Linked DNA regions of Drosophila melanogaster. The protein of the gene in region 3 purifies or fractionates together with the protein of the main gene of each other region. This does not show direct contact. Each region holds a gene or a part of one and is shown on either strand. Other genes may lie near its edges.

Region 1 (3,052 bases), on a different chromosome or scaffold from region 3:
AAGTTCAACTTGAAAAAGTCGCAAGTGACTACTGTGCGATCCCTGGAATCTCAAGCGGGAAAAAAATAAAGATAAAATGTGTACACAGGTACATACATACATATGTACATACATATATGTATTTATGTACGTAAGGAGCAGCTGCCCTCTTTTGTTGTTGCACTTAAAGTCGCTAAAATGCGGTGCGTTCGCTTGTCAAAATTGCAGCAGCATTCAGCCTTTTTTATGTTAAGAAGCCACAAAGAGATGACGCAGTCGAAATGGTTAAATGAATTAACCCTTTTACTTTGCACAAACACACACACACACATGTGCTTGCAACAGGCAATACAGTGGCTACAACAACAATAGCAGACAGGGCTTTGTGATTTTTCTGGCCGTTCTTGTAGTTTTTTGCCCAACACACGGATTAAGCTACACCCTCGGAAAAATATTCGACACAAAATCACGCGATTTAAACTAAAAAATAAATAAATAACACAATTGCGCGGAAACTTGGGAATACACGGCGCTAAGGATATCGATTACTTATTACTTATTACTTTTTATCGATTCGCATCGTCGGAGCATTCGCAGGGTACTGCCAACTTATCTCAATTTCCTAAAGGTCATTGAACTCAAATATATATATAAAAAAACGAATGTAGCATTGCATTTATAGCCATTGATTAATATGAAAGGAAAGTATGTATAAAAGTGCAACCAGTATTTGAACTTGCATAAGTTAAAAATCAAAAGTTAGCTTAGGTCCTATGATTACACCAATCTATTTGACCAAAGTACATAATTAAATATTACATCCAAAATTCAATTGTTCCTGTACAAGTGTACTAACTTTTTGGCGTTTCATGAGCGGCTCGTGTGTACAAACATTTATTTAAATGCTTACCCCCACCCCGTAGCCACTTCAGATGAAGCTGGAGCTGGAGCCGAATCTGAAGCTTGGAGCTTGAAGTTTGGAGCACGGTGGAGAATTGCGCGTAAATTCGTTGCGGTCTGCGCGTCATCAACGTAATCGCCGTCAACAGCAGTCAACAGCATCAAACTGGCAGGCAAATGTTGCTACTGTTTCCAGACGCAGTCCGTCCGGCCAACAGAAGCAAACGAAGCAACAGAAGCACCAACCGCCGCAGTGAAGTGGTTTTTTATGATCAGACGAGATGAGCCGAGCCCAAAGCAGCACTTTCCATCCGAGAAAGAAACCGAGGCTACAACAAAAGCGTGTCTTTCGAGTTCGCTAATGGGAACTACATATATGTATGTACATACATATGTACATTCCGGGTACAAAGTGCATTTTGTGGAAACCCTTTGGGCAGAATGTAAACCATTAACAAATTGTAGCAGACCTATGGCCTATACATTTCTTATTTGTTTTAACTGTTTTGACTCTTATAAATGAACATATTTTCAAGAATCTGAATTAAATTGTAAATTAGTAGAATGAAGCTCTTTCGAAACTACCTCGCTTTGCTCCTTCCGTTTGATCATTTGACCATTTTTGACCATTTGCTTTAGGTTATGGCATTTTGTCCATTTCGTATTGGTCATTCGGTTTTGGCCATTAATTTCGTTATATCATTTCGTTTTTGTCTTGCTTTGGTTATTTCGTTTTGGTCTTTCATCTTAGTCAGTTCGTTTTGACCATTCGTTTGGGCCGCTTATGTAGTTTTAGCCAAATCTTTTTGACCAAATTGACTTGAGCTTAGTTCCTGGCTCTACATATTCTGTTATTTTTTTTTTTTTTTAATTTTTGAGCTGGAATTAAAGCGTTTCACTTCAAACATAGTACACCTGTCGCACAGACTTATTGTAGTTAGTTTTGTCAAGCGTTCGAAGCGACTGCAGAAATGAGGGTCTACTTGTATCAAATGCGCCCGGTGCTCTTTCTCTTCTACATGGTGGAGACGACGGCCAACTTATTCGTTTTGTACTACCAACTGAAAGCATTTGTTTTCGTCAATCTGACAACGATGAAATGGGAAGATGTTCTAATCCAAAGCTTTTATATGTCCTTCTTTTACATATTCACAGTGGTAACGCTCTTTGCCAGCATAAATCTCTGCACCGGTCATCGCACATCGATCGTTGAGGAAGTTGTGCGTCCTCTGATCGGATTTGTTCTATATACGGTAATATCGTTGATGGCACTGGGCGATGCCGAGACGGATTTCTATATATGGTATGATGGAAGGAACCCGGATGATTTACTATATCCGGAGAAGCCGCTCCATCCGTTCTTCGGTAGCCTGCGGGACCAGGCGACAGCCTCATTGGTGTCCAGTGTTATCTATCTGCTGCACTGCCTCATTGCGTTGGATGTCCTTCTGTCGAATGACGATTCGGATAACGAACGCGAGTCATCCAATTCCTCCGACGATGTGAACGAAGAGGTCGACTACGTTCCAGTGCGTCTGTACGTCTTTGGCGGCGTGATGCAACGCTGGCTGGAGCAGTTCGACTGGTTTCAGGACTTTACCCACAGTGGAGTCACAGATATCTGATATTTTATCATTAACTTCATTTATACAACTACAAATTACATGATAAACAAAACTTCGCATCGCTTTTCTCGGTGATTATGCAGCCTTTGGATTTTGGTTACATTCGGTGCAAGAAACCCTAATCATCAGCATTCCCATGACGTCAGTGGGAAGCAACAGTTCGGTCTCTGCATCATATAAAGCTCATTGTCGTCAATGTGCCAGTGATAAGCAGCTGGGGCCAAAACATCTACATAAGTACGCGTATCTATAGTATCTATGTATCTTGGTACGAGTATCTGTATCTGCTAGTGCGCAGGTCCAAAGTTAAAGCGAACAATCGATATATGTACTATGATGTTTGGGGCAAAGCGGCAGTCAAGAGCAAGGTGAAGCATTGCCCCGGTGCTCCTGGGTGTGGTGCTTTTTTCATTCATAAAAAAAAACTGGTCCACATGACATGTGGACACATTCAAGGCTATTTCTAGACCAGACCAAGGATGTCCTTATGCCTCTCATAAACTATGCAATATGATTAGAAAGTCTGAATGTTTAGAATTAGTTTTATA
Region 2 (4,865 bases), on a different chromosome or scaffold from region 3:
AGTGCGAAAGTAATAATATGTATATAATTTATATGCATTCACAGTGCATTTGACTTTCTGACAGCTAAATGTCTGCTCTCCTCATCTGAAATTAAATGCAGTTTGCAATTAATTTGGGTATAAACTGCGATATAAAATATGGCGAATTTGCGAAAGCAAATTGTTTGACGTTGCTTGCATATGTGCCCTCTAAATAATGAGCTTACATTTTGACCCCATTTCCCAAGGGACATAAATTTCTCTAAGATAATTATTTTGTAAGCCGCTAGGCCAATTAAAATATTTTTAAAATAACTAAATTTTATTTGAGATTCCTTTTAAGGGTATGCAATTCCTAGCCAATTTTTGTGTCTCCTTGAGCAAAACATCAAAGATGTTGGAACAAACACAATCAAGCGCCAATAAACTAAAATAAATTAAAATGAAAAACCTGAAAAAAAAACGAAAGTAAAATAAAAAGTTGCTCAATTCATTGTTCTGTGAAGCCAAAAAAGTGTGCCAGAAAGTAAAAGTTGAATCACATCACCGAAATCACTGATTGGCCGAAAGAAAAACCTTTGCCAGGTATTTCCCAATTTCCCGTGAGTTTTTGTGCATTTTCATTTGATTTTCGATTTGGTTCATCAAACCGCATTCGGTTCATTCAAAGTCAAGTTCAAGTTTAAATGACGCCGCCCGCCTGTTTAAGGGTAAAATTCACAAACAAGATTTATATAAGCTAAACAAACAAAGTCAAAAGAACATTTGGATGCAAGTGCATTTGGCCTTGAGTTTATCGGCGGAAAAAGAAAACACATGCAGGAAATTCTGTAAGCGATCTGCACGATTGAAAAGGTCAACATGATCTCCATGAATGTATTTACTATTATTAGAAACATATGTACTCCCAGATCTGCCCTTCAACTCGTTTCGATGTAATTGTATATGATGGGGGAAGCTTTACCCATCTTTGTTTATTCGTTTTCGTAGGAATTTCCCTGGAAAATTTGTGTTTAGATTATCAATCATTGGGTCGCACGTGAGCAAAAAAGATATACCCTACAGGAGGGTATAATCGAAAAAAATGAGTTACTAATGTTTTAAATAATCAATTAACGGCAAATTTTACATAACAAGCTAGAAAATATCAAACTATTCATACAGATTTCATTATAAATAATATATTGTGTGCTTAAAGTATCTATTATTTGGTTAAATGTATCTGGACCAGTTTTGTTTATTTACCTGTGTGGGCATGTTGCTGGAAATGATTTTTCCATTATCAGGAAACTAAATTATAGCTAATGCCAAAGCCAAAAGAAAACATAAACAAATAAACGGAATTTAAATGCTTTTATGGCAAAAATTCCATCGGCCTCTAACCACATTTTGAATTAGTTAGTTACAAAAAACCAAATATTGTAATGTATTAGTTAGAGCTTATAGTTCACTGATCAATTCAATACCACAAGTGACGCCTTTCCCTTGAAACATTCAAAGAATATGTTAAAATTATGAAAAACCATAGGAAAAACAAAAACAGAAAATAGGGTGTGGGATTTTCTGAAAGAAATATGGGCTCATATGTATTGTGTATGTGTGGTATGACTTGGCTGGCTTTCTTTTTATGATCATCGCCAGCGTCATCGCGATTTCGGTATTGAATCGTTGCAAACAATGAGTGGGTGCCACCACACGATCTATCAGAATGTGGTGGGAAAGCTTTCCCATAACCAATCTCCGGAGCTTTGCCACACAGATGCGATGAAAATCGCTCACGGATAGAGCAACCTACGCCGTAAAGGAATGCGCCGTGCTTTTGGTGCCGAAACGGAATGGCAAAATTCTGAAACGAGGAAAATTGGTGAGGCGAATTTTCTTGGGGTTTGCAGTTTGAAAAAATTCTTCGTTGAGGATAGATCGCTATTTTTTAGGAGTAAATTTAAATTGTAAGCGAACCCGAAACATATTAAACAACATACAACTGAATAGTAAATTAAATAATTATAAACGAAATGAAAAACAATAAAATCAAATTAAATAAAGTGCACCATCACATCTGAATGTGGAGACGAACAATTAACTGGTGAAATAATTATGGAATTATGATCGCATTATGAATGATCCGATATGTTCCATAGCGAAAAGACATTGACTATAATTATATAAGAGAGATCGTACTCAATGACATTTGATACCGAAGTGTTGGAGCTCATCAAGAGTTTGTGCAGTGAAATATAAAAAACAAAAATCCCACATTGAATTAAATTCAAAATTAATTTAGTTTAATGGATAATAAAGGCCTATTTTAAACATACTTCAACTAAATTGTTCTTAGACTTTGCACACTTCTTCGATACTTAAGTAAATTCCGCTAAAAGCCAGAATAACAGAACGATTTCAACTCAAGGACATTTAAAAATAAAACCCAATTTAGCTGCAGCTTACACACAGATACACTTACATCCACTCACCCATTTACACGCACACACTGACGACACCTAGAATATTTGTTCTCATACTCAGAAGTGTGAAATTTGCTATGCAACAAAAAAATATTTTTATATTCGAGCAACCAGGAGAATACCACGATACATGAAAAATCACAAAAACCGAACCGAAATATATTTATTTTTAGTGAGATTGATCTTGCGTTAGCTGCTGTTGCCCGATCGCGGTATTATATTAGATTTTATGTATATGTTTTATAAACTTTGCACTGCTCTAAAGTGGCACACAGTCTGTTTATTTTCGAACCGAGAGACTTTCAACGCGAAAGCAAAAAATTCAACTGAGAAAACATCCCATCAATCGAGAGACAAGCGATTCGAATTCGTGCGTGCTGCCTGGCATTTCCCGGGAAATAGATTAAATTGAAAACGGACAAAAAAAAAAAATAAAATAAAATAGGCGGAAAGGAAATTTGAAACACATTGGAAAATTGCTAAGCCATCTCTCTTCCCAACTTTATTACAGCGAACGAGTTCAACGATTTTTTCGTGAACAGAACAAAACAAATCGATCAAAATGTTCAAAAACCACTTGGAAATGATTGGGCGCAATGAGAGCCCCAGCAAGAAGGCGAAATTCTGGCAGTCCTACATCAGGTCCCTGAAGGGTAAGCATTCACTAAATAAGCTCAAAAATTACATTAAAAGATAGGATAGTTATTCAAAACTACTATTGATTGCTTAGTCACAATAGTAGGGAGTTTGCATAGTTCCAAAATAATTCAAAAAACAATTGAAGATTAACTCGAAGTGTTCCCATTTCGATATGATTAAGGGACACTCAAAAGTGATATTATTAAACTCTGGTCGCCAGTGAGCAACACAAATAGCTTAGCCTATATGTGTATAGTCTATTTATTTTGGCAGGTGTCATATCAGCCAAGCTATATACTTAGACACGCTCTGCTGGGAAAGCTTTTCGCCATAGTATATTCGAATATATAGAGAGAAATTTGTAAAATATATATGCTCAGGCCTTAAACAAAGAATAGGCTAAAATATAGGATACACATACAGGGGGCGCATCTATGATAGAAACCGAATAGAAATCATACATTTCTGCAGCGCTGGCATTGAGCCAAATAGTGAGAATAGAATAGCCGAAATATTTGAAAAGCAATGAACTAACGCGTCGTTATCCAAACAACTATTTATAGGCTCCGAGGATATCCGTGCCCACGAGGCGCCCCGTGCCTCTCGTCCCTACAGCTCCTACCTGGACTCGCCCTCCTACAGGAGCATCTATGACGAGCCCGCCACCGCCAATGAGCGCGTCCAGTCCTCTGGCTACAGATATCTGCCAGTGAGCCGCGACACCTACGGCTACTCGCCCCGTGCCATCTACGATCATCACTACAGCCGAACAAGTAAGTTGGTACCATATACGGACCACATACTGTACTATCTACAGCCGATTCCCGCCTAACTGCTTCACACAGCCGAGTATCTGTATCTTAATGCTTCCGAAATCGGTGGCCTTGCAAATGTGGATATTGAACTAAGATATCCTGTTATTACCATTTAAAGTATATTTCAAATAATATAGATAAATGATTATGATTGTTTACATAACAAATTATCCGCCATGAAACTAAAAGATATTTTTAACATTCTTGAAACTGGAATAGTAACATAGATGAAATTCAGGTTCAAAAGTTTATGTCAATGCTTTCAATCTAGTTTTTTAGAAAAAAACGTTTAAAATTTTAATTAAAATTTAAAATTAAAAAAGGCAATCACCTGATTGTTATTTGCAAGGTTACATAAGCTTCGGTCCATCCGAACGCCACAAGTTCTTTCAGCCTTTCTGCTTCGCTTCGATGCGCCATCCATCAATCAGTCAGTCAGTCAGTCAATCAGTCAGTCAATCAGTCGAGTCATTACAATCATCTTACAACTGCAATCTCGCCACTGCCTGCTATTGAAGCTTTTGACAACACCTTGAATATCTCAAAACCGCCATATTTTTATGCGTTTCATTTGAGATGAAAACTGGTGCGAGCGCTATGATTTCATAAATTTAAAAATAAAAATGGACAGCGCCAAACGGCCAAATACAATTACGTCAATGAAAATTTTCGTTTCGTATCGTTTCGTTTCGCCTCGGTCGTGTTGATTTTGGCAAAAGGCCTCAAAAATGAACAAAAAAAATAAAAAAAATGAAGACAATAATATAGGCAACACACACAGGCGCTATATATCAAGTCAGGTATATAAGCGGAATTTTTGACTCAATTTTTTTTTTCGGTGCGTGCTCTGGGATCAAATGACTGTGGCGGCCCTCGGTGCGCGGAAACCGAAGTTCTCTTTTCCGATTTTCCGAATTTCCACACACTCACACACTGGCAAAAGCCCCAAGCACCCAAATCCGAACAC
Region 3 (4,691 bases):
AGTGTGACCACTCCTTAGTGCATTGAAAACTTTGACAGCCCTTGTAAATCATTGGTGTATCCCTATACTCCATAACATTTCGATAAATATTTGAAAACAAATATAGTCGCAAATAACGATTTTTCAATATGCAGTAATTGCAGTAAATCATATGCATTTTAATATAATTAAAAGTAAATGAAGCCTTTTAGTAGTTCGTAGAGTCACACTGGAAGGATCTAAGGCAGCCCTGGTTTTTGAAATTGATTTAAATTTGAAAAGTATGAAAATACTGCACTTTCTAGCTTTTGTTATAGAGTTAATCATAGTTCTTTTATAATGCCCTATAGATAAGAAAACAAAATAGAGCCAGTTATTTATTGTACTTTGCCAAAAGGCGTTAGCCTATTGGTGGGCGTGTTGCTTAGACGCAAATGTTTCAGTGCTTTAATGCCCACAAATGGCAGTAATTTAGAACTGTAACCACAATTTCTTATTTCCCACCCATTTCCCCAGTTACGAAATTACTTTCTCCACTCCCCCATTTCTTTGGGCCGGCGTCGTCATTTCTCTTGTCACGTAGGCCAAAACGGCAATAGCTGACGAAAAACTCGTGCGGCAAATTGATAAGCAAACAAACGAGCTCCACCCGGCATAAAATCGGCAAATCGGCAAAATACCGGCCCCAAATGCCGGCTGTATGGATGAGAACGAAAAAAACTAATACCGCTCCAAACTTCAATTATCACTTTTGTTATTACGCTAATTGCCGGCAGATAACAACTGGACGCTTTTTTCTTTATTTTTTTGCCAAAAAAATGCGAATTTTGTTTTGCACATGTGCAAATCAGAGAATGTTTGAATGTGTGCGATCAGCCGATTGCACTTATCACGAATGAGAGTTAGAGCCACAAAAGCCGGTTGTTATGGGCTGGGGTATTCGACGAGATCGGGGGAGTGGGAGATGGGAAAACGGACAGATAGTTCATCATGTGACACCGCTCGGTGACTAACTTTCTTGCCAAATGCAGGAAAATTATACACACAGTCGCATTAGCACCTTCGAACCATAACGATCACGGAAACGTAGAGCTAAATTGGTCTAATTCAACAACTGATAGCGATAAGATTATCGGGTTTGCAATGATTGCGTCCCAAAAGTGCGACTACTGTTATCGCCAAGATTTATGAAATGCAAGAAAGTAGCTTTGCTTGGTGAAGGTGTTGTTATTAGCATTGCATAACCATTAAAAGCCAGTAAATTTATTTGTATTACCCAATCCCCCAAAGCTCGAATCACATACCAGAAACTTTTCATTTAAAACGTACTTAGACCTTTTTCTGAATTGCAGAATATTTTTAAGCTTAACTCCAAAAAGGATCTCATTACGCCCCCAAACTACAATTCACCATTAACACTACCCAGCCGAAAAGTAGGCAACACAAAACGTTCATCCGCCCTGTGGGGGGCACAGCAGTGCTTGCCAAACTGTGGAAAACCCCTTTTGCACTTACCGTATTTCATCGACAGCAAAAGTTAAATACCACAAAGCGAACATTTTGTATTAGCTGAAATTGAGAGAAGATCGAATGAGTAAATAGTTAAGTGATTTTCAAAGCAATTTGACCGCTAATGTATACGAATTAATTGGACTATAAATGGCAATTTCCACACCACATGCACTTGTTGGACTGGCACTGAATCTGATTCACCCAGCGACCTCGAAAAGCGCAACAAATGACGTCGCCGTCAAGCAATGCAAAAAAAAAAAACTCAATCGAGCGAGGCGCTCATCAGAAAAGTAAGTTCCAGAGAGCCAGAGCTCAATTAAGACCCAAGGCACACAGATAAAAAAACAGTTGAACAGGCGAAAAGACAGCAGTGAATATATGCCGGCATTATTCAAGGTTTATTTATAAACAAAAGCGCGCATGGGTTTGCAAATGCAAAATGCAGAATGCCAAATTCGCAGAACGCTGAGCGCCGAGGCACGTGAAGTCGAGACTTTTGGGCAAACGGCCAGAGATGGGAAACAGTACACAGAAAAAACCTCATAAATGGGAAAATGAAAATGTTTTGTCATAAATTTGATTTCTGAATTTCTGAATTTCTTATTTAAACTCCTCCCCAATTGAAGCCTACTAACGCCAACATTATTAAAGTTTGCCTCAATTAAAAAGTTATAAATGAAAGTTTCTTTATATGAAATATTTGAGGCACCTGCCTAGTATTTGGTTTGCAAAGTTTATTTTTAAGATATGTCATAACATTTAATATGTATTCTCACAAGCAAACAAATTGCAAATTTTCCTCTGTGCACTGCAGATCAATTCGGAAAAAGGGGAACTTTTTGTGCACCGGATGGCGCCCAATGGTCGAAAGGGTTCTAAATTTAGATAGTGCTGCCATCGATCAATTAAATATGATTATTTTGCGCACTGTTTGCAGTCCCCTGAGCTTTGTTTATCCCTCGGATTTGAGCAAAGGCAAGCAAAATTCACCATGAAGCTCCGTCTGCGTTTGTTTTCTTTTGCACACGCGGCGTATGAGCAATCTGCGATGGTAATAGCACACTCAGACTCTGACAGTTACGTCACATCGCACGGCAAACGTATGAGTGGGTGGCTGGGGCGTGGAAAATGGGTGGGTGGTGGTGCCTAAGAACACTCATTCCCATAACACTCATTCACTGTTGCAGCATGCCACACATAACAAACAACTGGGGACTTGCAGCATGACCCCTTCTGCGTGCACTCACCTTTTGTGCCTGTGTTGGATAATAAAACGACTAGAAAAAGTTGCAAGTGCTTTTCCGGAGGGTTTTCCGTTCGATTTTTTCGTATATCAAAAGGTTCGTTTCGTTTAAATGCTTCACAGCTGGTCAAATATCGAGGACTGGTCTCGATTGTGTGTTGTTTGATTTTGAGTAAAGGTACAAAATTAATTTTCTCTCGACTGGCACTCTTCTGCTGTTGAATGCTTCTTTCAAGTTTTTTTCGACTGTCGTGCTCCGTGCGAAAATCGACTGCTCTACTGGCGGCAAAAGCGACGAGACTACGGCTACGACGGCATCCAACTGAGAGAGCCCCAAAGAGAATGGGGAGCACGGAGAGCGCCGACGCCAATGTTTCCTAGCTGTGGCTGCACTTGCGACGAAGCTTTTCTCACGAGATTCGTTTCCCAACGAACCCACGGGTTCTGTGCCAGGTACACCCGAAAAAAACTTAGAAGACTTTAATCAGATTCCAACAGAGAGGGTTCAGAGTTAACTACTATAAAGGATATACATATTTATTAGAGGACACTAGCAAATAATTAAATGTAGATATTTCAATGTAGTAATAACTAATAGTAAATCTATGAATTTTCTGTAACTAATTAATTATTTTTCTCTGTGCACGATTTCAATATTTATTTCCGTGTACTCTCCGATTCGGAATGTTACTCATAGGCTTACGCTATGCCACCGCTATGTGTCAATAATCGCGTTGAACCTGGTCAAAAGGCTGCCTAATCAATAAAAGAAAAGAATTTTCGGAAACAGTTTTTGGGCACTGGACGAGTCACTTTTCCAATTGGCACTATCAGTTCAATGTTTACTATTTATTTTGCTTACTGCAGCGTTTGGCCCAGGCCAAAACTATCAAATTTGGTCGAAAAAGCGCTGCTGACGCCTTTCGCCGGTTGTCTGTCGTGGGCAAATAAATCCAGATAATAAACTCGAGCGTACTGTTCAGTCATTCATTCAACAGCGCTATCTATTTTGCAAAGCCCACTTAATTGGCCTGGGTGATGATGATTGGGGTCTTATCGCTCGCCGAAGACTCTGCAGTTTGAGAGCCACTGCAACGGCAAAGATGCAATGGCAAGCGCACAGAGTCCGTGAATCCCGTGGACCAGGTTGCATAATGATACGTACAGCTGCTTACATAACCGCGGCAGCGAGAAAGGCGACCAGAAACAAGGTCAAAAGTTCAAGGACTGAGAAAAGCTCGAAAACATCCTGGAGCGCTTGCGTTGCTCAGCGGAAGTTCCTGCGAGTGTGGGTGTTCTGTTTTTGTTGACAAAAAGTTTTTATTATCACGAATTATGTACTTTTAATCGGCTACCTTCGGCCTACAGCACTAAATATTGTATAACACAACCCATGAAGTATGCAACGAAAATAAAGATTAAAGCACTTGAAAAGGATAACTTTCGAGCCCCTTCCGTAAATAATTAGGAGCACAATTTTGATTTAAGTTTCAAACATTTTTTATTGGTTTTTCAATTGAATGCATTTTGTTTGCTACGCTTTAATTGGTTTATATATCTTGGTTGTCTTACATTGTAATGATATTGCATATGCCACACAAACTGCTGTTGGCCTCGGTTGATTAAGCTTTAAAATCTTGCACAAAACATAATCATTGCAAATCAAATGGAAATTGACTTTGAATAAAACGCTTGCTTTCATATATTTTAAGCTATGTGCATTTTGTATGTGTATTATTTTACTACATATCGATATATAATTTAACATTTGAATCATTCTCATCTTCACTTTTCATCCTGACTGGAATATCAATCTAATTCCGCACGCTGTTGATTCACTCAAACACTTCGGTTCAAAACTTTGGTTCCCCCGCGTTCGTCCTTCGTTAACCCGCTAAGCTAGCTACTACTGGATCTGATCCGATCTCCTATAGTTCATTTTGAATTCTTCTCGTTG

Evidence for each region. The genes of interacting proteins can lie anywhere in the genome.
Region 1: the proteins of Argk1 (region 3) and CG14315 purify together in Drosophila melanogaster (affinity purification with mass spectrometry, with the first as the bait; one large-scale study listed by BioGRID). This does not show direct contact.
Region 2: the proteins of Argk1 (region 3) and Mf purify together in Drosophila melanogaster (affinity purification with mass spectrometry, with the first as the bait; one large-scale study listed by BioGRID). This does not show direct contact.

The regions. Positions count from the first base shown.
Region 1 is NT_033777.3:18,156,920-18,159,971, forward strand, and holds CG14315 (uncharacterized protein), read left to right. Parts: upstream 1-1,781; 5' UTR 1,782-1,850; coding exon 1,851-2,504; 3' UTR 2,505-2,552; downstream 2,553-3,052.
Region 2 is NT_033777.3:15,177,271-15,182,135, reverse strand, and holds the start of Mf (myofilin), read left to right. Parts: upstream 1-1,865; 5' UTR 1,866-1,928; intron 1,929-2,785; exon of another isoform or gene 2,786-2,814; intron 2,815-2,955; 5' UTR 2,956-3,006; coding exon 3,007-3,097; intron 3,098-3,646; coding exon 3,647-3,856; coding exon of another isoform or gene 3,857-3,915; exon of another isoform or gene 3,916-4,865.
Region 3 is NT_037436.4:9,062,970-9,067,660, forward strand, and holds the start of Argk1 (arginine kinase 1), read right to left. Parts: upstream 3,059-4,691; 5' UTR 2,739-3,058; intron 1,549-2,738; 5' UTR 1,539-1,548; coding exon 1,495-1,538; intron 1-1,494.